4 linked regions of the Schizosaccharomyces pombe genome follow. The protein of the gene in region 4 interacts with the protein of the main gene of each other region in a pairwise test. Each region holds a gene or a part of one and is shown on either strand. Other genes may lie near its edges. The genes, in order: met1, mat3-Mc, tif222 and sec18.

Evidence for each region.
Region 1: the proteins of sec18 (region 4) and met1 interact in a two-hybrid assay, tested with the Schizosaccharomyces pombe proteins (one large-scale study listed by BioGRID).
Region 2: the proteins of sec18 (region 4) and mat3-Mc interact in a two-hybrid assay, tested with the Schizosaccharomyces pombe proteins (one large-scale study listed by BioGRID).
Region 3: the proteins of sec18 (region 4) and tif222 interact in a two-hybrid assay, tested with the Schizosaccharomyces pombe proteins (one large-scale study listed by BioGRID).

Annotation. Positions count from the first base shown.
Region 1 is NC_003421.2:2,036,242-2,041,887, forward strand, and holds met1 (uroporphyrin methyltransferase), read right to left. Parts: upstream 3,730-5,646; 5' UTR 3,202-3,729; coding exon 1,711-3,201; 3' UTR 1,429-1,710; downstream 1-1,428. Other genes in the region: histone lysine methyltransferase Set5, read left to right, coding at 1-479; Cut3-interacting exosome subunit Cti1, read left to right, coding at 5,043-5,444.
Region 2 is NC_003423.3:2,130,250-2,134,332, forward strand, and holds mat3-Mc (mating type M-specific HMG-box DNA-binding transcription factor Mc at silenced MAT3 locus), read left to right. Parts: upstream 1-2,599; coding exon 2,600-3,145; downstream 3,146-4,083. Other genes in the region: mat3-Mi (mating type M-specific polypeptide Mi at silenced MAT3 locus), read right to left, coding at 2,337-2,465. UniProt on the Schizosaccharomyces pombe protein: Mating type proteins are sequence specific DNA-binding proteins that act as master switches in yeast differentiation by controlling gene expression in a cell type-specific fashion. Silenced copy of mat-Mc at mat3-M.
Region 3 is NC_003424.3:1,670,699-1,675,723, forward strand, and holds tif222 (translation initiation factor eIF2B beta subunit), read right to left. Parts: upstream 2,979-5,025; 5' UTR 2,958-2,978; coding exon 2,744-2,957; intron 2,692-2,743; coding exon 2,301-2,691; exon of another isoform or gene 2,283-2,300; intron 2,255-2,282; coding exon 1,678-2,254; 3' UTR 1,499-1,677; downstream 1-1,498. Other genes in the region: glutamyl-tRNA amidotransferase beta subunit Gta2, read left to right, coding at 1-115, 186-1,373; tit1 (tRNA isopentenyltransferase), read left to right, coding at 3,249-4,553. UniProt on the Schizosaccharomyces pombe protein: Acts as a component of the translation initiation factor 2B (eIF2B) complex, which catalyzes the exchange of GDP for GTP on the eukaryotic initiation factor 2 (eIF2) complex gamma subunit.
Region 4 is NC_003424.3:4,717,597-4,723,769, forward strand, and holds sec18 (secretory pathway protein Sec18), read right to left. Parts: upstream 3,540-6,173; 5' UTR 3,521-3,539; coding exon 1,142-3,520; 3' UTR 917-1,141; downstream 1-916. Other genes in the region: SPOM_SPAC1834.10C (uncharacterized protein), read right to left, coding at 118-431, 493-715; SPOM_SPAC1834.13 (uncharacterized protein), read right to left, coding at 4,752-4,988; pex7 (peroxin-7), read left to right, coding at 5,422-5,452, 5,780-5,912, 6,042-6,173. UniProt on the Schizosaccharomyces pombe protein: Required for vesicle-mediated transport. Catalyzes the fusion of transport vesicles within the Golgi cisternae. Is also required for transport from the endoplasmic reticulum to the Golgi stack.

The sequences.
Region 1 (5,646 bases), on a different chromosome or scaffold from region 4:
AATGTTATTGTAGTGTTTGCTCTGTAGAGGAACGAAAGATTAGGAAAATCAGCGATTTAAGGAGAAAGCAACTGGCCTACTATGACCGAACCATGGCAAAAATGTGTATAGTTAATCCAAGAGGTGCTCTAAGAGCATTGAGACATAGGATACACATTGCCCACGAAGAGCTTCTTTTCGGTCGGTTAGATATAATTGCACTTCTGGATGCCTTCCGATTATGTGTCATCCACGGTGATTTTGAGAGAGCCAGTATTTTTGCAAAAAAGGGGACTAAAGCAATTAGTTTGTATGAAGGAACTGATTCTGAAAAATATTTGAAAATTTCCAAGTATGTAGAGAACCCACGAAGTCATGCTCTTGCTGAAGGAGTGCCTGCTCTACCATTATTTTTAGAAGAGGATGATGAACTATCGGATTTGGAAGATAATTTATGGGGATGTAAGCTTGAAGAAGATGTTTATAGTGATACTGATTAAGCATGGGGTAAAAAACTACTGTTTTTGTTTTTATTGGAAAATTGGGCATGTATTGTTAATGCTCGTCTTAACTTTTAGTTTGATGAGCTTGGGATTGTATTTATTCTATTGAAAAATTATAAAACTTTTATGGATGATAAAAACCTGAAATTGAAACTATCTTCCTGAGATCCTAGAGTTTTTGTATCTCCTTTCTTTTTTATAAATAAAAAATTTAGAAACCTATTGGGGTTTGGCATGAATTGTAAATGATTGAGAATATTTTAATATGGAGAATATTCAGTATTTAGCATAGAAGTGAGTACTGATTTAATTCATACAAAAGGTATTTATAAAAGAAATTTATAAGAAGGGTTTGCAGTATTGAGTAATCACTTCCTATCGAGTTGTAAACATTATTGTTGAAGAGATTTAAGCATTTGGTGCATGTTTGCTGATTTTTTTAAAATATCCAAAAAATAGATTCGGTATTTTGAGCAAAAGCCGATTCACAAATAGAACCAGTAAATCAATAAACCAAATATTCCTTATTATTCAAAACAACAAAAAATTTCTTCAGAATTATACACATTCTTAAGACACTGCTTTTGTAACAATATATAACATATTCTTTAACCTCTAAATAATAAATGCATCAGTGGTGTAGCGGTAACATCAATGCCTTCCAAGCATTAGCTCCGGGTTCGACTCCCGGCTGATGCAGTTTAATATTTGCTTTTTTAGATTATCTACTAAAATGAATATCATTCTACTAAAACTATATTGGATAAATGAATCATGAAACGTGTATCAAAATGTTCTAATACAAAACTGATATGTTGATTCTATCTATTTGTTCATCTATCCTTACATTTAAAATAACAGGTTATGATTGTGTATCTTTATTTAGCAGTTGCTAGTAATACAGATGAGTATAGTACACAAATATCAAGCCAAAATATCTTTCCACTGACCATTAGAATTGTTTTAAATTAAAATCATACTAAAAATAAAAGAACTGCTGTATACAAACAGAGTAAATAATGAACTGGCCCCTGAACAAGTACAAACCAAAAATTAAACCATGAATAAATATTTTAAGAAGAAACAACGAAGATTAAACTGACCGCATATTATCCAAAACAACCTAAGAACATGAACATTGAGGTCGAAAACAGTAAAAGACTTGCTAAAGGAAGATTAAAGACGAACCTACTACATATAATAAAGGGAAAATAATTCATATAGATAGTTACGCGGTGTTGCGAAGGGTATTACAACTGTATCCAGTAATCAGCAAACCAGGGGGGAGAGACTCGTACTTGTTGTATTCTTCCACAACGTCTTCCAAAGTAGAGAAAATGAACCTTTGATCAGGGCAAGAGACGCGCTCAGCTATACAAACCGGTAACACTCTAGGCCAACCGCTTTCAATTAGTGCTTGCACAAGAATTTCTAGTCGGTGTAAAGCCATTAGGAAAACTGTGGTCTGTGTAGGGACAAAAGAAGGTATTTTAGGCATCGAACCCTTTTGACCAGTTCCAGTACACACAAGAAATTGATCGGCCACTCCACGATGTGTAACGGGAATACCAGCAGAGATAGGGGCCATCAAAGCACTACTGATGCCAGGAATAACCGTTGGTACATAACCGTGTTGTGTAAAGAATAGATACTCTTCACCGCCTCGCCCATAAATATAAGGATCACCTTGCTTCAAACGGACAACATAATCACCTCTAGATAAAGCATCAAAAGCAACCTGGTGAAGTTCATCTTGTGCCTTATCCGCATTTCCAGGAAATTTTCTAGCAATAAATAGTGGAGTATGCCTTGGAATTAACTGTAATACCGCTTCTGGTACCAGCTTGTCGGCTAGTACATAATCGGCTTTCATTATAGCCTTTCTGGCAGCAACAGTAAGTAAATCAGGAGAGCCAGGTCCACTTCCAATTAAAGCTATTGAACCTCGCTTATGAGTAGGAAAAGCCTCAGGGTCAAGCGTCAATGAAGGCTTGTCCAAGGTGGTTGATAAACTTTCATAGGAGTTGGCAAGTGAAGAAGATTGGCTTGATGAGAGTGGAAGAGAGAAGTTGTCAGAAACTATGGCAAGAAGATCGTCCTCTGTCATCCGAACCAACTTCTCGAGGGGCCAAAAATCACTAACATGATTGATCCACTGTTTTTTTTCTGGAGTTTTAGTGATCGCTCGCACTCGGCCAAAACGCTCAATGGCTTCTGGCATACCGGAAGGAAGGCTACTCACCACGTGTCTCAACAGCCTTTGAGCTAAACGACAACCATTTGATGAAGTACTTAAAGAAATTTGAAGAGGTGGTTCTGACCACGTAGCTGGTAGAGTAAAGGAGCACAAAGAAGGATTATCAATGATGTTTAATGGGATTCGGTACCTTTTGCACGTACGATGTAAAATTTCCTTTTCATGGTGGTTGGACTCTGACACGAAAACAGCATCCACCAAAAAATCTGTCTCCTCCTTTCCCAGCGTCGTTAATGAACGAACGGGATCAAATTCAGAAATGGGAAGAATTTCAATAGCATCCGATTTTTTTGCGTCAAGCTGAAGATGACCAACGTCAAATCCACCATCAGCGGAGCTGCGACAAAACCAAAAAATTTTAGAAGAATTTTCACTTAAACATAAATTCACCCGTCGGTAAGCATTTTTTCCTGAACCAACGACTACAACAACGGCGTCTTTCAAGGACCAGGAAACAATCATTGTAGTAGTTTCTAATAGGTTAACTCAGGTGTACTTGGTAGAGAATAGGTTTTTGCCCAAAATTTTTTTTTAATCTCCAAATATTGCGTCAATCTTATTTTCCAATATATATATTTTCACTTCAATTTTTCACAATTTTAGTCACTTCGTTTTGGATTGTCTTGGTGGAGAAGAAGAGCTGCTGGCTGAAGTACTGCAAAAACCAGACTTTGTTGTTCTACGCAAAAATGCGGGAAAGAAAGGAAAGAAATATCTCATAAACCAACAATTTAGCCTTTAGCTTAAGTTACAAATTTTAATTCTTTCTACGAAGCAATCGAGCAATTGATTGCAACACTATTAAACTGATTGATTAACTTGTAGAGAAAGACAATTGTGCAGTGGTCGTTAAACCTCGGTAAATTGAATAAAGATTTTCAACGATAATGAAAACAATAAATAAATTTTGTACTTCCGAATATCGCTTTAAATCCTCTTTACGTATTACAACAACCCGTTATCCGACCTCCTTCCTTGTTCTTTTCGCTTGATGAGCGTTTGAGGTCTTGCCTACACTTTATATGACTGCATACATCAATCACCAAATGATGGCGCAATTTGCTGCAAAAATGATTGATCGTTAAAATTTTTTTGCGGAATACGGTAATCAACCAATAACCATACTTCTTTAAACCAGGTAAAGTACCAGCGGTAGAGCTCATAAAATATTTCTATCAAGGCATCGTTATTGCACGATATAGTACAAAAATAACCTTGCTAGTTAGTACATGACGAGTCCCTTAGTCACTGTAGTTTTTGCTAATTAACAAGTTAACTTGCATGATAGCTTTCCTCTAGCTTTGGGGAAAATTTGGCTTAGTAAGATAATGAGTAAAAAGTTTTAAGGAAGTACGCTTTGATATTCACAAAAAAAGAAAATGCTTTCGAACTGCGTTACTTAAGTATGAATGCAAACATCTGAATCCTCATATAAATAACAAACCACAATAAAAAAATGGCCCACTTGTAAATGTCATACTTCCTCCTAGCCAAATCAGAGATGTTAATATATATTATGTTTAGTGATAATGTTGCTCACATAGGCCTTAACGTTAACGAATTTTTGTAAGCGCTAAACGCATATTTTCCGTATTCATAACTTTACATTTTCTTCATGCATGGGTGAACTCTCTGTTGACGGCGAGTTTTCTTTTCTTTTTTTCTAAAGATATTTCAAGAGGCGAATCGACTTTTTGAGTCAAGCGAACAAGTGTAGCCTTGAAAAATTAGAACTAACTTTTAAGCGAATAGTGAGTTACATCGTATTTTTAATATTCCGTTAAACATGGTAAACTAAAGTTCAAATTGTCAACAACACAACAATATACTATGCTATACTGTATTGCGTCACACGTCACTATATGTTCACATGTTCCATTTACATATCGCACCGCAGATGATACGATGTTGATATTAATTTTAACAATAATCTATTAAAATCCAAATCATCTAAACAACGTAAATAGAGTTACTGCTAAACCTCATTCCTTACACAATTATAAGTTGTATTTGCAATAAATAACAATACAACTTGATAGTACAATACCTACACTCAGTTGCTACTTATATCACCTGCGTATTGCAATAATAATAGGACGAATGAGAAACTCATCGCAATTCAATGTATTGTTAAAGCAGATACCAAACTGCGTAGCTGATATACAAAAAATTTGAGGATAAATTAGCCAAGGGCACGGTATATTGTGTTACATACCTGCTTTCGACGTTTTTCTACATTTTGGAATTGAGGACAGAAGGTAGAATTCGCATATATCCACAGCCTGTCTCTCTGTCTGTTAAACATGGACCCAGAGTATTCTGAGCTGTTTGAAAGATTAAATAAGCAATTAGATAACGTGGAAGATGTTCTTAAACCATTGAAGGATGCTGAATCAATTTTTGAACTTGCTGAAGGAAAATCCGAATTGGAACAAGCAAAGTTATATATCACCATGTCCTATGCCATTAATTCTACTCTCTATTCTTTTTATAAGTTAAATGGAATAGACGCTAGTGAGCGACCCGTAATGCAAGAATTGCAGCGTGTTAAAAATTACATTAGCAAAATCCAGCAAGCTGAAAAAAATGTGAATCCCAAAACAGAAGCGGTAAATACGTCCAACGCCGCTATTTCCTCTTCTTCTTCTAATCGTCCAAAAGTTGCTAAGGACGCAGCTACTCGAATCATTAAACATCACACTTGATAGACGTTTTTGTTTCTTCTATTGACATGACTTTGGCTCTATGGATTAACGGGTGATAACTTACGAATGAAAAAAGTAATTAATTTTTTTTTTAATTAATATACATGGAATTTGGAGCTAATGGACGGATTTTACCGAAACTGTCTCTTTAGTTGCCTTTTTTTTTCAATTTTTTTTATTATTCGAGCGTAATACTTTGAAA
Region 2 (4,083 bases), on a different chromosome or scaffold from region 4:
AAACAAAACAAAGAAGTTTGGTTTGTAAATCCGTAAAAATTGCATTGGTATGTGTTGATCGTGAGTTTGGGGTTTGCCGAGAAACTCAATTCTCTCGACAAATAAATGTGAATTTGAGCAAAGGCTACAAAGTTTCTGTAAGCATTCTTCGATAAGTCACTTAGACGGTTCGTACTGGTGCCCAGGACCCCAAACCATCAATTGACTTGTCCCTGCTTTAGAAGTGTCAGGGTCATCGCCATTACGTCTTTACCTACTCATATTTTTAGCAATTATTCCAATTCATCTTAAAAATTTCAGCCAACATTATCTAGTCAGAAATCATATAGAAGTAATATGTTTTATATTCGCATATACATTTGTATAACTCTTGACTTTTTTTAATAAGCAACGTTGCGAAAATAAGTATAAATTCTTTAGCTAGTAGATCAAAAAATTGGATTGTTTTCATATGCTTCCATCTATATTCTATTATTTAAGAATGCAGATGAATTCATCATTACCATGTTAATGTAAAAGAGCTGGCCACCATCTTATAACCTTTTCTTTAAAATTTTTATAAGTATAATAGTCGCTCAGGAAAAAGGAAGAACGGCAAATAATAGAAAAAGGTGGAATTTCTTAAATTTGTAATTAAAGTAATTTCTATTCTTTTGTATGAAAAATCAAATCACCGCTTTTGAGATTAATCGTTTACATCTGGTTTTTTAAGAAACTGATTATAAATCCAATCGTTAAACTTAAAAGATCTTTGCTTTTAGAAAAAGCGCAAATACAATTTTATGAGAACCCGACGATACAATATATAGACTATGGGTTGATTATAAAAAGCGGAAGGAAGTATTGATCTACATAACTTACTATGTCATTACCGTTGTGTAAAAGTAGGCAAAAGTTTAAAATGGAAGCAAAGCTGGACAATAAGTGTTGATGCGGTATTTTGGAAATAGAAAAACAAAATTATAATTCAGAACAACCTTCTCATAAAAATCTGTTCTACTCATACCAATCCATTAAAAAGCCTAAAAAATACCTAGACAAATGACCAAGATACGCTACTAACTTTATAATAATATTTCGCAAGCCGTCTATTGACTTTCTCACTTTCAATTTCACACAACATTTAAATACAAATGTACATTTACAAATATAGTAATATGCTGGTATGGACATAGCAATTTAGCACTATATTAGCCTTTATTTAACAAAAATCACTCTTTAAATAAACAGTTCTAATAAAAAATTCAATTAAACCCATTCAAAAACTAACTTTACAGTACATGAATAAAATCTTAAGATTATCAAAAAAACTTTCAAACATGTTCAAAGTTTACAACCATGTAGGCATCGAGAAAGCTGACAAACAAAAATGAATACATCACGTTCACTTCCCAATAGTTATATAGTTATACATATTTCTTAACAATTTAACCCTCTTAGCTTTCTACATTTCCAAACATCATATTAAACCTACTCGAATCCATATGACTACAACTACCTTCTAAAAGTTTCAAAACAGTTTGAAAAGTTTCACCAAGGCAAACAATTATCTTTTGAAATACAACATTTCAATATGTCAAATCCTCAAAAACATACAGCAAAAAAATGCCAACATGATTAAAATAAAATTTTAAAATACCCAAAAAAAATCAACCAGTAGGACATTTTTATAGTTCCCAAATACGCATCTCCACTTAAAAGAATAAAAGGAATTTATATTCCAACCTAAACTCAGCAAAAAAATTCATTATGATATAAAACATAAAAACAAAAACAATCACCAAAAATTATAAAGAAAACCAAATCTATGATTGCAAAATTCTAAAAAAGACATAAATCGCAATAAAAAGAACAAACTAATTAACTAATAATAATAATAATAATAATAAAACAAAAAAGGAAGAACTAACAACATTTTCAATTCCTCAACATAAATGAATTCCATTTAAACCACAATTATTTCATAAATAATCAAAAAAATATATATATGAATACCACATTAACAAGTAGGAAAACAAATAACATGTTCCTTCGCCTACGTAAGTTTACAAACCGGACAAAATTATAAACTAAATAAAACTAAAAAAAAAAAAGTACACAATTATAAGGACCCATACAACAACGGATTACTAAAAACAGCAGTTTAAATGTTTTAGTTCTGCCGCGCGCGCACCTTAAACAGGTGCTTGCTTGGCAGCCTCGTAGGCTTTTAAAAGTTATTTTTCTGTATGCATATGCATATGCATTTGTATAGCATACAACCTTTAATTTAATAGCCATACAACCTAATAGCCAGAAACGCCTTCCCAATTTACTGAACCCTGCTTATATGTAGTTTATAATTGTTGTGTCTTTTTTTTACGTTTAAGTTGTAATTTGATGTTAGAATTTATTACAATGGATGCAAGTTTTAACTCAATTTGATCACATAGGATTTGAATTGTAAAAAGGTCTTCTGCTGACATTATTAGTATGTATTGTGCTTTAGATTAAATTATTGTGTTTTAGTGTATTTTGTTCCTTTGTTTTTGGGTTTCTTTGTTCTGTAAGTAGTTAAATACCCTCCACACTCTACACCTACCTTGCACTCACAACTACAATGGACTCACACCAAGAATTATCAGCGGGTTCCCCTATTTCCTACGACTTTTTAGATCCAGACTGGTGTTTTAAAAGATACCTTACAAAGGATGCTCTTCATTCAATTGAAACTGGCAAAGGTGCTGCTTACTTTGTTCCTGATGGCTTTACTCCTATACTCATTCCTAACTCACAAAGCTACCTGTTGGATGGGAATTCTGCACAACTGCCAAGACCTCAACCAATATCCTTCACATTGGATCAATGTAAAGTTCCCGGCTATATTTTGAAGAGTTTACGGAAAGACACTACGTCTACTGAACGTACTCCGAGACCCCCTAATGCTTTTATATTATACAGGAAGGAAAAACATGCTACATTATTAAAGTCTAACCCTTCCATCAATAATTCACAAGTTTCCAAGCTGGTTGGAGAGATGTGGAGAAACGAATCAAAGGAAGTACGTATGCGATATTTTAAGATGTCTGAGTTTTATAAAGCACAACATCAGAAAATGTACCCTGGTTATAAGTACCAGCCTAGAAAGAATAAAGTTAAAAGATAATAATGGTAATATTTATGGTATTTAATAAAGAATTTTGAAATTGATTTAAATATGCTTCTTAGAGTTACATTCACTGAAGATTATAATGTAATATTTTGTGTACCCCATTTGCGTTGAGTTATTCTATAGTAATTATTGTGTGTTCTATTAACGATGTATTGCGATTTATATCTGTTATGCTAACATAACGTAGTTCTAAGCACTGTAATGCCATACTGTTTTAGAGGGTGATGCTTCCTAAAATCTCCTTACATAAAGTAATACATGGATTTTACTGCCCTGATTCTATCGAAATATGCTGTTTTTTTTATTCGTTTTTATTTATTTTCAATAATTTTTTTGTAATATAAATGTATAGTCTTTCTCCTTTGTTTTCTCTCGTTCGTTTCCATGTTATCCAAATATGTTTGTTTGGCCGATAGTCTGTCTTTTGGGAAAAAATGCGCATTTTGTGTTTTTAAAAGCAGTTTAGAATAGTTTTAAACAAAAAAAGCAATCGTTTTGCCAACATAACGATATCATCATTTAGCAACAACTATAATGTTCAAATTATAACCTGATATTGAGTATATAGTAAATTAATAAATTAGAATTGTTTTACCTATTAAACGTGATCATTTGTACAGTTTTTCTCAACACATTCACTACAAATATTTCACTGACATCAATCGCTAGGCGCTTTAATATAATTTTTTTGAAAACTGGAAACATATTTTTAAGTTAAAATAAAATAACTTGCTCAAAAATATCTAACAGTAGTTGGCAAATAAATAAATAAAAGTTCTTCTTACCCGGATAGACATTTTGATGGAATTATCAGTTACCTTAAAATGCGTTAACCAAATTAACGTCAAACTAGTATAATACATCGCAATAACCATTTAACATATTTCTTCTAGGTAGTAATGAATTACTTCAGTTGACAAAATTTGTGCACT
Region 3 (5,025 bases), 3.0 Mb from region 4:
TCAGATTACGCAGAAAGAAATTCCTATAGGAAGAAATGGATTTATACCATTGTCGGCTGGTTTGGACAATGTTCCAGATACTCAAATCCCCATACAACATATTCAACTAGAACAGGTAAGAAACATTGTCAAAACAACTTTCCATATACTGGATTTGAAAAGTATTTTAACAAACTTATATTTAGGATACTGCAAAATCGACGTCTGCTAAAAATCCATCGCGAATCTTACTGGATTATAATCGAGCAGGAACTCCGTTATTGGAAATCGTCACTAAACCTTGCTTTCATGATGTCAATACTGTTTCTGCATTCTTGTTTAAATTGCAATCCATCGTTCGCTTCGCTGGAATATCTGAGGCGTTGATGGAAAATGGAGGGATGAGATGTGATGTTAATGTCTCAATCGCGCCAGTCATCTCTTCAGAAAATCTAAATGAACTTCATTTTAAAAACAACGGAGTGATATCAGTAGAGAAATCCATATCCCATTTCCCCCAATTAGGTACTCAGTTGGCTCGTGTTGAATTAAAAAATTTGTCAAATGTACGAAATGTAGTAAATTCAATTCGCCATGAAGTGGACCGACAAGTCTCTTTGGCAAATATGGGTGTTTCTTGGCCCTCAGAAACGAGGGGATTCGACGATATCACTGGTAAAACATTTCCTCTTCGTAATAAGACAACCTCCGACGATTATCTATTTCTTCCTGAAACCGATATCCCCCCAATCATACTTTCTCGGAGTTATGTGAATTCTGTCTTAAAATCATTACCTGCTCTGCCTGACGAACTTTTCCAAAAGCTTACAACGGGTTCTCATGCCATTAGTCATAAAGAGGCCCGTACATTATTAAGTGTGAAGGAATACTATCACTACTACAGAAATGCGTACCACCATATCGATTCTATAAGCCATGTAAATCAATCTTTGAAAGAGGATGCTTTACGTACCCTTCCATACTGGATCACTGTGGAACTAGTAGGAAAAGTTCGTGAAATTGACCCTTCCCCTAACATCAATATCGTTCCTCCTTTGCAATTGGCTGACATTGTACTTCTTGTTTCCAAGAAGAAACTTACAGCTGCATCTGCTAAACTCTTCCTTCGTTCATTGATAAAATCACCTTCATCGAAACCTATATCTACTCTCATCCAAGAAAAAAATTTTGGTACCATTGGCGATTCCGAGAAAATAAAAGCTTGTGTAGAAAGTGTTCTTAGTAAACATTCAAAACAATTTGAAGAGTTGAAAAATGGTAAAACTTCCCTTATAAAGTGGTTTGTTGGCCTTACGATGAGAGAGCTTCGAGGACAAGCAAGTCCCAAAGACATTGAGATGGAAGTGCAAAGCAGTTTACGAAGGGAAAAGTAATCAAATTGGTTTGTATATTAGTGGCCCTAGTTTTTTTAATTACTGCATATTTCAAATCATTAGACAATGAAAGGAAACTCGTTAAAATTCATAGTCCATTTACTTTAATTTCAAAGTTTTATTTTGCTGAGTTAATTGCCTGTATTACTTGCAACAGAAACCCACAGTTAAAAAAATTCAATCTAATGTAACCCATGTTATTTATTCCAAAATTTTAATATTTACCTAAACACGTGTAAAGAAATTTGATAAACTTGATTTAATAGGTAATCAATTTTCCAAGAGAAAATAGAATGCAAACTCTTTAAAGAATTGTATCGCTTGCATCATAAGTATCATTCATAATACGATAAAGGTAGGAAGGAGGATAGCCACCCAAATTGGTAATAAACAGATCTACTAGGTCTGGTGGGATGTAATCATAGTAAGGGTTTAAAATTTCAGCGCGGCTTATTAGATCACCTTCATTAAAGGACATAATTTTATCAGGTGAAGACAGTTGGATAATGGATTCTAAGTCATAAGGGTAAACAGGGCTAAGCTTATAAATACCCGAACACACCACTACGGGAGTAGCATGGTGCCTGGCAGCCTGAGCAACTAATTGGGCTCCACTATAGGTTACCAATCCTCCGTTACCCAAGATTGCATGCGTACCAAGTATAACTTTATTCACGCGTGACATGATTGCAAAAATCGTAGCATCAGATATAACAGTTGTATCAATACCAGCCTGAGCTAATCGCTTTGCCATGGCATGAGAACCTTTTTGGTTATTGGGAAATCCTTCTGCAACAATCACTGAAAATTTGCGTTTCTTTGCGGCAAAACGGAGAAAAGCTTCAACAGTTTTTGAGCAACCCTGAGTTAAAATAATTTCACTAAAAAGGTTAGCTAACTGATAAGATGTTTAGCATGACACCATACTTTGAATGCAAATGGTCCATTGATTGAACTTCAATATCAGTATTAATCTTGTCCAACTCATCGATTACATCTTGGATGCCAGATATGATCACAGCGCGCATATCCATGCCACCGGTGACCCTACTGTCACCGACGGTTTTACTATGTGTGGGAGACTCAAGAGTAGGACGACCTAATAAATTAAGCATAGAAGAGTACATCTGAACTGAAACAGGTTCGTGACTTTGAACCAATTTTTCGTTAGAGGGAATGTCTCTTTTTTGAGAAGGGCTAGAAGAGTTCGATGAAGAAACGATTAACTTCTCATTTTCATCAGCAGTCTTTAATAATTCTTGATATTCTTCGCGGATTAAGCGTAAAATTCTTCTAATAATATTTCCACAAGAAAATTCTTCACGGTTTAGCATGTAACACAATAAAAGAATATGATTCAAAATACATACCAGTAGGTTGAGCCTTGACAAGAGTAGATCCAACAGCACGGACTGTATCAATTAATTGATCAACTGTTGACCAGCGAGTTTGAGAAATCACTTGTCTCATTACCAGCGCCGTTTCAACGGCAACTGCAAAGGGGCCTTGTACCTTTCTTGACTTTAAGTCTGCTATCAAGCTACTTACAGCCGGATAGGTATGTTCAACATTAATAGTTGACATTTTCAGGCGATGGGAAACGACAAGTAGTGTTTACATGTTAATAACGAACAAATACGAACGCTGTAAAAATGTAATAACTTGTTTACAGTAATTAAAACATCGTTAAAGCATATACCGAAGTTGACGCCGCAATAAAGGAACGGGGATAGTGAACCAAAACAAAATGTAAGGTAAAATCAGTTGGTAAAGAGCCAGGCTTGCTTGGGAAAATTTGGGAAATGGATTTGTTAGTCTAAGCTTGATTCGGTGTGTAATCTATTGAAGATAAGGTAAAAATCTATATCTTATAAAATGTTAAAGCCCCTTTGCGTTGTCATCGGTACTACAGGAGCTGGTAAGTCGGATTTAGCAGTTCAGCTGGCGAAACGGTTTGGAAGCCAAGTCATTAATGCTGACTCGATGCAAATTTATCGGGGATTTGATACTATAACCAATAAAATTACTGTGGAAGAGCAAGAGAATGTTCATCATCGCTTGATGTCCTTCTTGAACTTTGACAAAGAATACAGTGTTCCCGAGTTTGAACGAGATGCCTCCCGCGTAATTGACGAGATTCACAGTCAAGGAAAGATACCTATTGTGGTTGGAGGGACTCATTATTATTTGCAGTCCCTTTTGTTTGAAGATACTACTTTGTCGGCTATTGATAAATTGACGAACGATTCATCACCTAGTAAGCCACCCCATCCGGACTCTCATATCTTGGATGATGATCCATCTGCTATGCTTTCGTATTTAAAAAAGATAGATCCCGTGATGGCTGAGCAATGGCATCCTCGGGATACTCGTAAAATTCGAAGAAGCCTAGAGATATATTTTCACACCGGTCGACCGCCATCTGAAATTTATTCTGAGCAAAAAATGAAGTCAAGTGGCTCTAAACTTCGATACAAATCTCTAATATTTTGGGCGTTCGCAGATTCTTTAGTCTTAATGCCGCGACTTGATAAACGTGTTGACAAAATGCTAAGCCATGGATTGGTTGATGAAATAAAAAGCATGAAGAGTCTTGCTGAAAGTGAAAAATTTTCTCCTGATTTCACCCGTGGGATTTGGCAATGTATTGGATTTAAAGAATTCATGCCATGGTTTGAAGCGCCTTCGGATATAGTCTTTAATGATTGTTTAGAACGAATGAAGGTTTCTACTAGACAGTATGCAAAATCTCAGAAGAAATGGATCCAAAGTCGATTCCTCCCGATGTGTTTGGCTCAACAAGATTTATCCCCTTCTTCAATTCTATTTTCCACCACAAACACTACGGACTTGAACAATTGGGAAGAGCAAGTTGAAAAGGCTTGTAGAGTATTTCAATATTTTTTTTATAATGGCGATGCCATTGCTCCATCTGCTGATGATCAGCACGCTTTCGAAAAAGCCAGAGATTATCTCTCCATAATGAACGGTCGCCAATCTCAGAAAAAGAAGTTCGTTTGCGAGGAATGTTTAGACAAGCGGGGTGATCCATTCACTGTAATAGGAGAAGATGCGTTCAATGTCCATATTAAAAGTAGGAAGCATAAAACCACGGTGCGACGTAAAAAAGAAAGAGCTGAGCGTCAAATTCGTTTAAAAAACATTGGAATTTTAAAATGAAGTCCATATTGTATTTATTATTATATTTTTGGTCATGTTCATAATATAAGTCATAAAAAGCTATGGAGAATGGTCATTATTGAAGTATTCAAGATGGATGCACAGTGTTTATTTATCCAGATTTAGAGCGTTAACTTGTAAGCTAATAGTGAAATTTATTATTATATACGCATGCTACGAACTAGTCTGAATAATCATGCTTGAAACCTTCAAGAATGGAGAGACGACAGAGGATTCCATAGCAAAGATTTTACTTCTTTAGATTAATACTACAAGGGTAATGCTCGTGAATTTTCAGTTTCTCTGTGACTAAGTTATAAACAATTTAACACTAGAATTAAGCTACGTTTAGGATTGTACATACCAAGATCGATTAGTGAAGCATTACGCAGCATTTTAGTGCCGGTCGACAAATACCATGTTAAAAAGGGTTTAAGGCGTAATAACGCAACGTCATATCGATATAAAATCA
Region 4 (6,173 bases):
CTTTTTTATTCAAAAGATGAGCATTATTTTATTCGTTCTACATTTCAAACTCGATTAAGACCTAAATTACAATACATTGAATTTTATATTAAAAAACTTATATAGTTATTATGATATCTATTTCGAATCGTTTTTGTTTATTTGCTTAGGTTGCTGTGCCTGCCGTATAGCATTAAAAATTGGCGTAGCCAATTCTGGGTGCAAGTAAAAATATCGTTTGGGTACAGTAGTGCTTTCAAGGTTTGCGAATGGACGACTATTGTTGGTATCAGGGATTTTGAGCTTGTCTAAAGTATATTGGGATAAGCGCTTTTTTCCTAGAATATTAAATGTATTTAAAGATAGCACGTTTCCCTTTAACGTTGCCTCCGAAACATAAGATTTAGCAGCCCAGTGAATTATTGCAGTCGACAAACTAGTAGTAGTACATGCTAACATGTTAATAAATTTGCTTTGGAAATTTTGGTAATCCGATTTCTTGATGAAACATACCCAAGAAAACCATCGACATTCTCGTTCCCAAACTTAAACCTCCTGCATCAAGTAAAAGCATCACTGGAGAAATCATATAAGTTAAACCTAATGATCCAATCGAAAACTTTTTAATGTTTCCTATAGCTTTTTTAAGTGGAGCATCATATACAGCTGCTAGACTAAATGATGTTGAAGCAAACCAGCGTCTTGCACCAAGTAGTATTTCGGAGGGCATATTCATTTTAGAATTAAGTATGTGAGTTGAATGTTACGATTTTTAAATTTCCATGTCCTTTACTATTTATGACTGATGAAATTAAAGATTTAGAATATGAACCGGGTCAATGTGGAGTGGAAATAGCGAATTGGTAAATTGTGCCTCTCAGTATGGGAGTAATGTAGTATGCTTAAATTGTTTACAATGCTTCAAATGATTATTTATGGATAATTGACTATAAAAGGCTATAAAGTTATATTGATAAGCATTCATTTAACAAGATGATTTAATTTTTTTAACGTTACATATAGGTTCGAACATCTTTTAACTTAATATTCATACAGTATTGCGGTGTATTCATTAACTATAATCTATAACGGTATAAAATATAAAAAACCTTGAGAAAATATTCATGACTAAAACGTCTCAGTTATTAAAAAGGTGTCATTGCTATTCCATAGGAATAGCACGGGCCATGGCTTCAACAAAACAGGAAACAACGTCTACATCCTGTTTAGCCGTTTCGGCTATCATAAGAATCTTGGCTACTCCGACATTGACAGCATCAGTACCAGTAAAGTTCTGCAAACGTTGTAATGTATCAGCTCGAACATTGCTGTCTGCAAATGAATCTATTGATTGTATGATGCGGTCCAGTTCAGTAACGTTGGAGACATTAGGAACTGCTATTTCTGCATCAAACGATTGGGTCATATCCATTCGAGAGAGCATAGTACGTTCAGAGGTAGTTGCTAAAATAAGCAATCGATGACCCTTGGGGGGTTGCTTTTTGAAAAGAACCATAAGTGTTTGAAGTAAGGTGTTAGAAAATCGAGGTCCGATTGGTACCCAATCAATAATACGTTCAATCTCATCTACTACAATGACGCTAAGAGGACTTTTGTAGCTGTCTTCGAACACACGATTGACATGAGCTACTCGAGCGTTTTCATTCATTCCTACCATGGACTCAGCGGAAACGAGCTTAACAAATGGAAATTCAGAACCAAGGGCTATCGTGGCAGCCAATGCAGTTTTCCCTGACGCTATAGGGCCTGACAATAATACACTGACCAAACGTGTACGTTCGGAGTTTTTAACTTGTTGAACAAATAATTTTCCTTCGGTAATTATTTCTTCAATGTGTTTACCAAAATTGATAATGCCACCTTGCACACGGCTTTCGAGTTCCTCCTCACTCACACCATAAGCTGGTCTTACCTCACTTAAAGCATTCAAAAAGTCGTTACGATTCACCTTGATATTTTCCAAATTACCTGAAACAGCGGCAGTGGTTCCCACCTTGATGTGGCGATAAAAAGCAAAACTTGAAGCACTCTTGATTAATCCAGCAATTTCAGCACCAGAAAAGTTTTTAGTAAGAGATGCTAGCTCTTCCATGTCAACATCATTCTCTAAAATACCATTTGAAGCCATACGGGACGTATGGATTTTCAGAATCTGCAAACGGCCGTGTTCATCTGGAAGTGAAATTTCCATATGAACCTCAAGACGACCTGGACGCAAAAGAGCTTCATCGATCATGTCTTTTCTGTTAGTCATACCAATAACAAGGATATTATTCAGTTGATCAACGCCATCCATCTTAGCCAAAAGCTGATTAACGACCTGATCGCCAACACCTGTATCACCACCAGAACTTCCTCTCTTTTTACATATGGCATCTAATTCATCGAAGATAATAATATGAAGACCCGATTCCTCTCCGCGATCGCGATACTCACGTTCAGCATCGGCGAATAATTTACGAACGTTTTCTTCACTTTGACCGACGTATTTGTTTAGAATTTCAGGACCATTAACGATTTTCGGTTCACGGGCATTTAGCATTTTACCAATTTGTCGAGCAATTAATGTCTTACCAGTACCTGGAGGGCCATATAAGAGAATACCCTTAACATGATTAATACCCAGCTTTTCAACCATGCCAGGAGGAAAGAGACGAGAGGCAAATGCTCGACGGAAAATAGCACTGAACTCTGAGTCAAGACCACCAATGCCCATGTCCTCAAATTTAAAGCCTGGCTGAAGAATGGCATTAGAGGCAGGTCTTGTCATGCTAGCTTTCAAACGCAACGCAGAGTGAGCGGCTTTAAAAAATTGGATTTCGGTCTGGGAAGTCAAGAGACCACGTTTGCTGGTATCTGCAGTATTTTCGGCATCTTGATTCTCACCAATTAAAAGATCGACACAAGATATAGTACGGACGGTTGCCTTTATATTGTAAGAACGGAAATCGAAAACAATTTTCTGGCCCGGAGAAAAAACTTGGCTCTGATAACTAGAGCAAAATAACTTGGCCATCTCTTCACCGTCGAAAGGCTCATTAGTGGTGCGATTTCTATTTTGAAAGTCTACCTCCAAAGTCATACTATGAAGATAAGGAGCTCCATGAGGACCATATGGATCATAGTCGGCAACATGAACCTGCTGATTTAGCGACCAAGAAGCCCATTCGCGATGGGGCTGGGAAGCGCCAAGACAACCCTGTGGAAAGCCAGGAACGGGTTTAGTGCTGAACACACGAGAGTTGTCTACAATAATGTACTGCTGCTTAAAGTCCATGGGAGAAACAATGATACAATTGGTTAAAGCATCTTCGGTAGAAGTCGCCTTGACGATCCGAAAAGGACCTGAAGGGCGTCTAACATCCATATGTGTAGGCAGCGGTGGTTTTTGCTCAAAGGGGCTCATATTGGGTGTAGGACCAGCACTGTTATGGGAATAACTGCCACTTAGTGGTTTCCTCATAGGTTGCTCTGGTGTCCCTTTATTGGACATGAATGGAAGTTTCCATCTTGAGTCCATTGTTGAGTGCTTTGTTAATGGAAAATCGTTTTCAGTAAACGTAACGCTTTCCACCTACTACTAAAACATAATATAACGGAGTACGAAATACAGATTAGCGAATAGTGAAGTATACGTTTACCGTTTGATTGCGTAATCATAATTAAGCCATAAATTTCCAATGTCGTTATATTTTAGGACGAGATGTAGTGAAGCCATGTTACTTCCCAATTTACATTTGGCAAAAAAATTTTTTTCTCTCTCTTCTTGCAAAAGCCTCTTTACGCGTGCAATTATTGTAGCATGCAAGTGACTATTTTTTTAGCAGCCTTCTAAGATAGGAAAACTGTTTCCAATAAGACAAACCTTCTTGCAGACTGTTGTTGTCGTTTATTGAAGGGATTTCCCCTCCCCCTTTTGTATATTTATATATTTTATTTTATTTATAAATTTATTTTATTCATTATTAAACGTATAATAACGTCAAAAAATTTTATGTGTCATGAGTGATAATGTCTTCGCTTTAAGAATCGGTAGCTTAATGACATCCGTATTGGAAAGATCTCGCTTCTTGTTTAGCTTAGCTATACGACCGCTATAGACGTTGCCGCTTGACGCTAATTGCCGAGATTCGCATCATTCTTTTGAGCTTCACTTTACTAACCGAATACGGGTGATCATCCACTCAAAATATTAAATAAATAAGAAATAAAAAAAAAGTGTTACTTAAAAAAGAGTGTGTTTGGAGGAAGTGTTAGCAAGTTTTGATAGTAGGAGTAGAAAAAAAAATTTTCAGCGCCTCGTCTCCTTAAAAAATTTACACACCTTTCTAATGAATGTTATTGAGGCAAAGTCTTGAATTTTGATTTCCATTTCATCAATGATTAGCGTACCGAGTTTTTGCTGTCGTATAAACGGCCATTGATTTGCTAATGTCACCTTTTTCACATAACGAAACGGATTTCTGTCATACTGTCACAAATTTTTCAATTGGCATGATAACGGTAAATAGACCAAAATCTAGGATTCGCGAATGTTCAAACGCGATTATTAGGGAATGGAATTTTATTCGATATCTCACCTGAGTCACTGTTATTGTCACAAGTGAAGCCAGCCATTTCTTGAATCTGATTGAGGAGAAAGTGAGGTAAGATGGGATGGAGTGTTGATGACTTGGAAGGAAGGTCCCTTACAAATGATTATTTGTTCTTTTACAGGCAAACTAGTTATCCCGAGCTACACTGTCCTAACGTTATCCGCAATTCATTCTTACAAAGCTAAGGGAAACGGGGGCAAAGACTGAGTAAGGCGGCAGCGCACTTGCAAGTTTCGCAGGTACTTTAGCTATCCCCACCTCCCCTGATGTTGGCAGTGACTCGGATATTCTAGGCCTGCTTAGAAAGTGGTCATTTTCAGATTTCAGATTCAATACGCTTGCTCTTTTTGACACATAAGTTACTTCAAGTACCAATCGTCTGGCGAATATCATATGGTATATAGAAAATCGACCTTAATTTCATAAACTTTCGGCTTTTCCCACCCTTATCGAAGCTAGCTTGTGAAGGAGCCAATTATATTGTATTTCTCTCCTGGTTCACGCCTTATGATTTATCATTTTTCTAAATTGGTAGTGTAGTTATTTAATATATTTTTTGATATATATAAGCTGGGTTGAGGAAACAAGCTTCGCTCTCAAAATTTGGTGAGCAAAGCAAAGCCAAGCCAAGCCAAGCAGAATAGAGCAGAAACGAGACGGGGCAAAAAGCAAAAGTTGCTTGGAGCATAAGTAGAAACACTTATTGGCAAAACTATATAAGAAAAATATCTAAGCCGAGCTGCGAAATAATTCCGTTTCATGACTGGAATTTTTTTCTTGTAAACGAGCAATTCTTCGAGGGCAACGTGCTTGTGTTTATTTGCCCATGCTGTCATTGAGGACTCCTGGGTTTCAAGGTAAGCTAAATAAAGGGAAGCGAAGCAAGACAAAATATTATATGGTACTAGTACTAGCGATAGTACAACTGCTTGAGAAAAATACAAATAAAATGAACGAATATTACCGAACTATAACTAAACTAAATTCAAATGATGTAGAAATACGAAATTTTGTTATTACTGAATATTTTCTTTATTTTGTTTATATTTTATTTTATTTTGTTTTGTTTTGTTTTGTTTCCTTTTAATTTTCCTTCCTTTTTATTGGAAAAAAAAAAAGAAAACAAAACAAAATAAATATCTTGGAATGCATAATTGTACATCGTTACTAACAATATTCGCTAGGTGAAAGTGTTCAATTCTCTCCACTTGTCGAAAACAAGATCGCTGTTGCAGCTGTCACCCATTATGGATTAGGCGGAAGCGGACGTCTTTATATTCATGATGTTACGCCAAAAGGAATTCAAGTTTGCCAACAGTAAGTAATTGTGCGATTACTGCTCTTCATTATTAGACTTTTGCACAAAACACTTTTAACCATTAGTTATTATGATGAAAACAGTCTCTAAATCCTACGAAATGAAATTTATCTAACGTTAAATACTAGCTATGATGTCGAGGATTCTTTGTTTGGTGTGCGCTGGTCTCAGAATTGTGAAAATCAAGTCTACGCTTGCTGTGGTGATGGTTCTTTGAGACTATTTGATTTGACTATGCCCTCTAAGCCCATCCATAAATG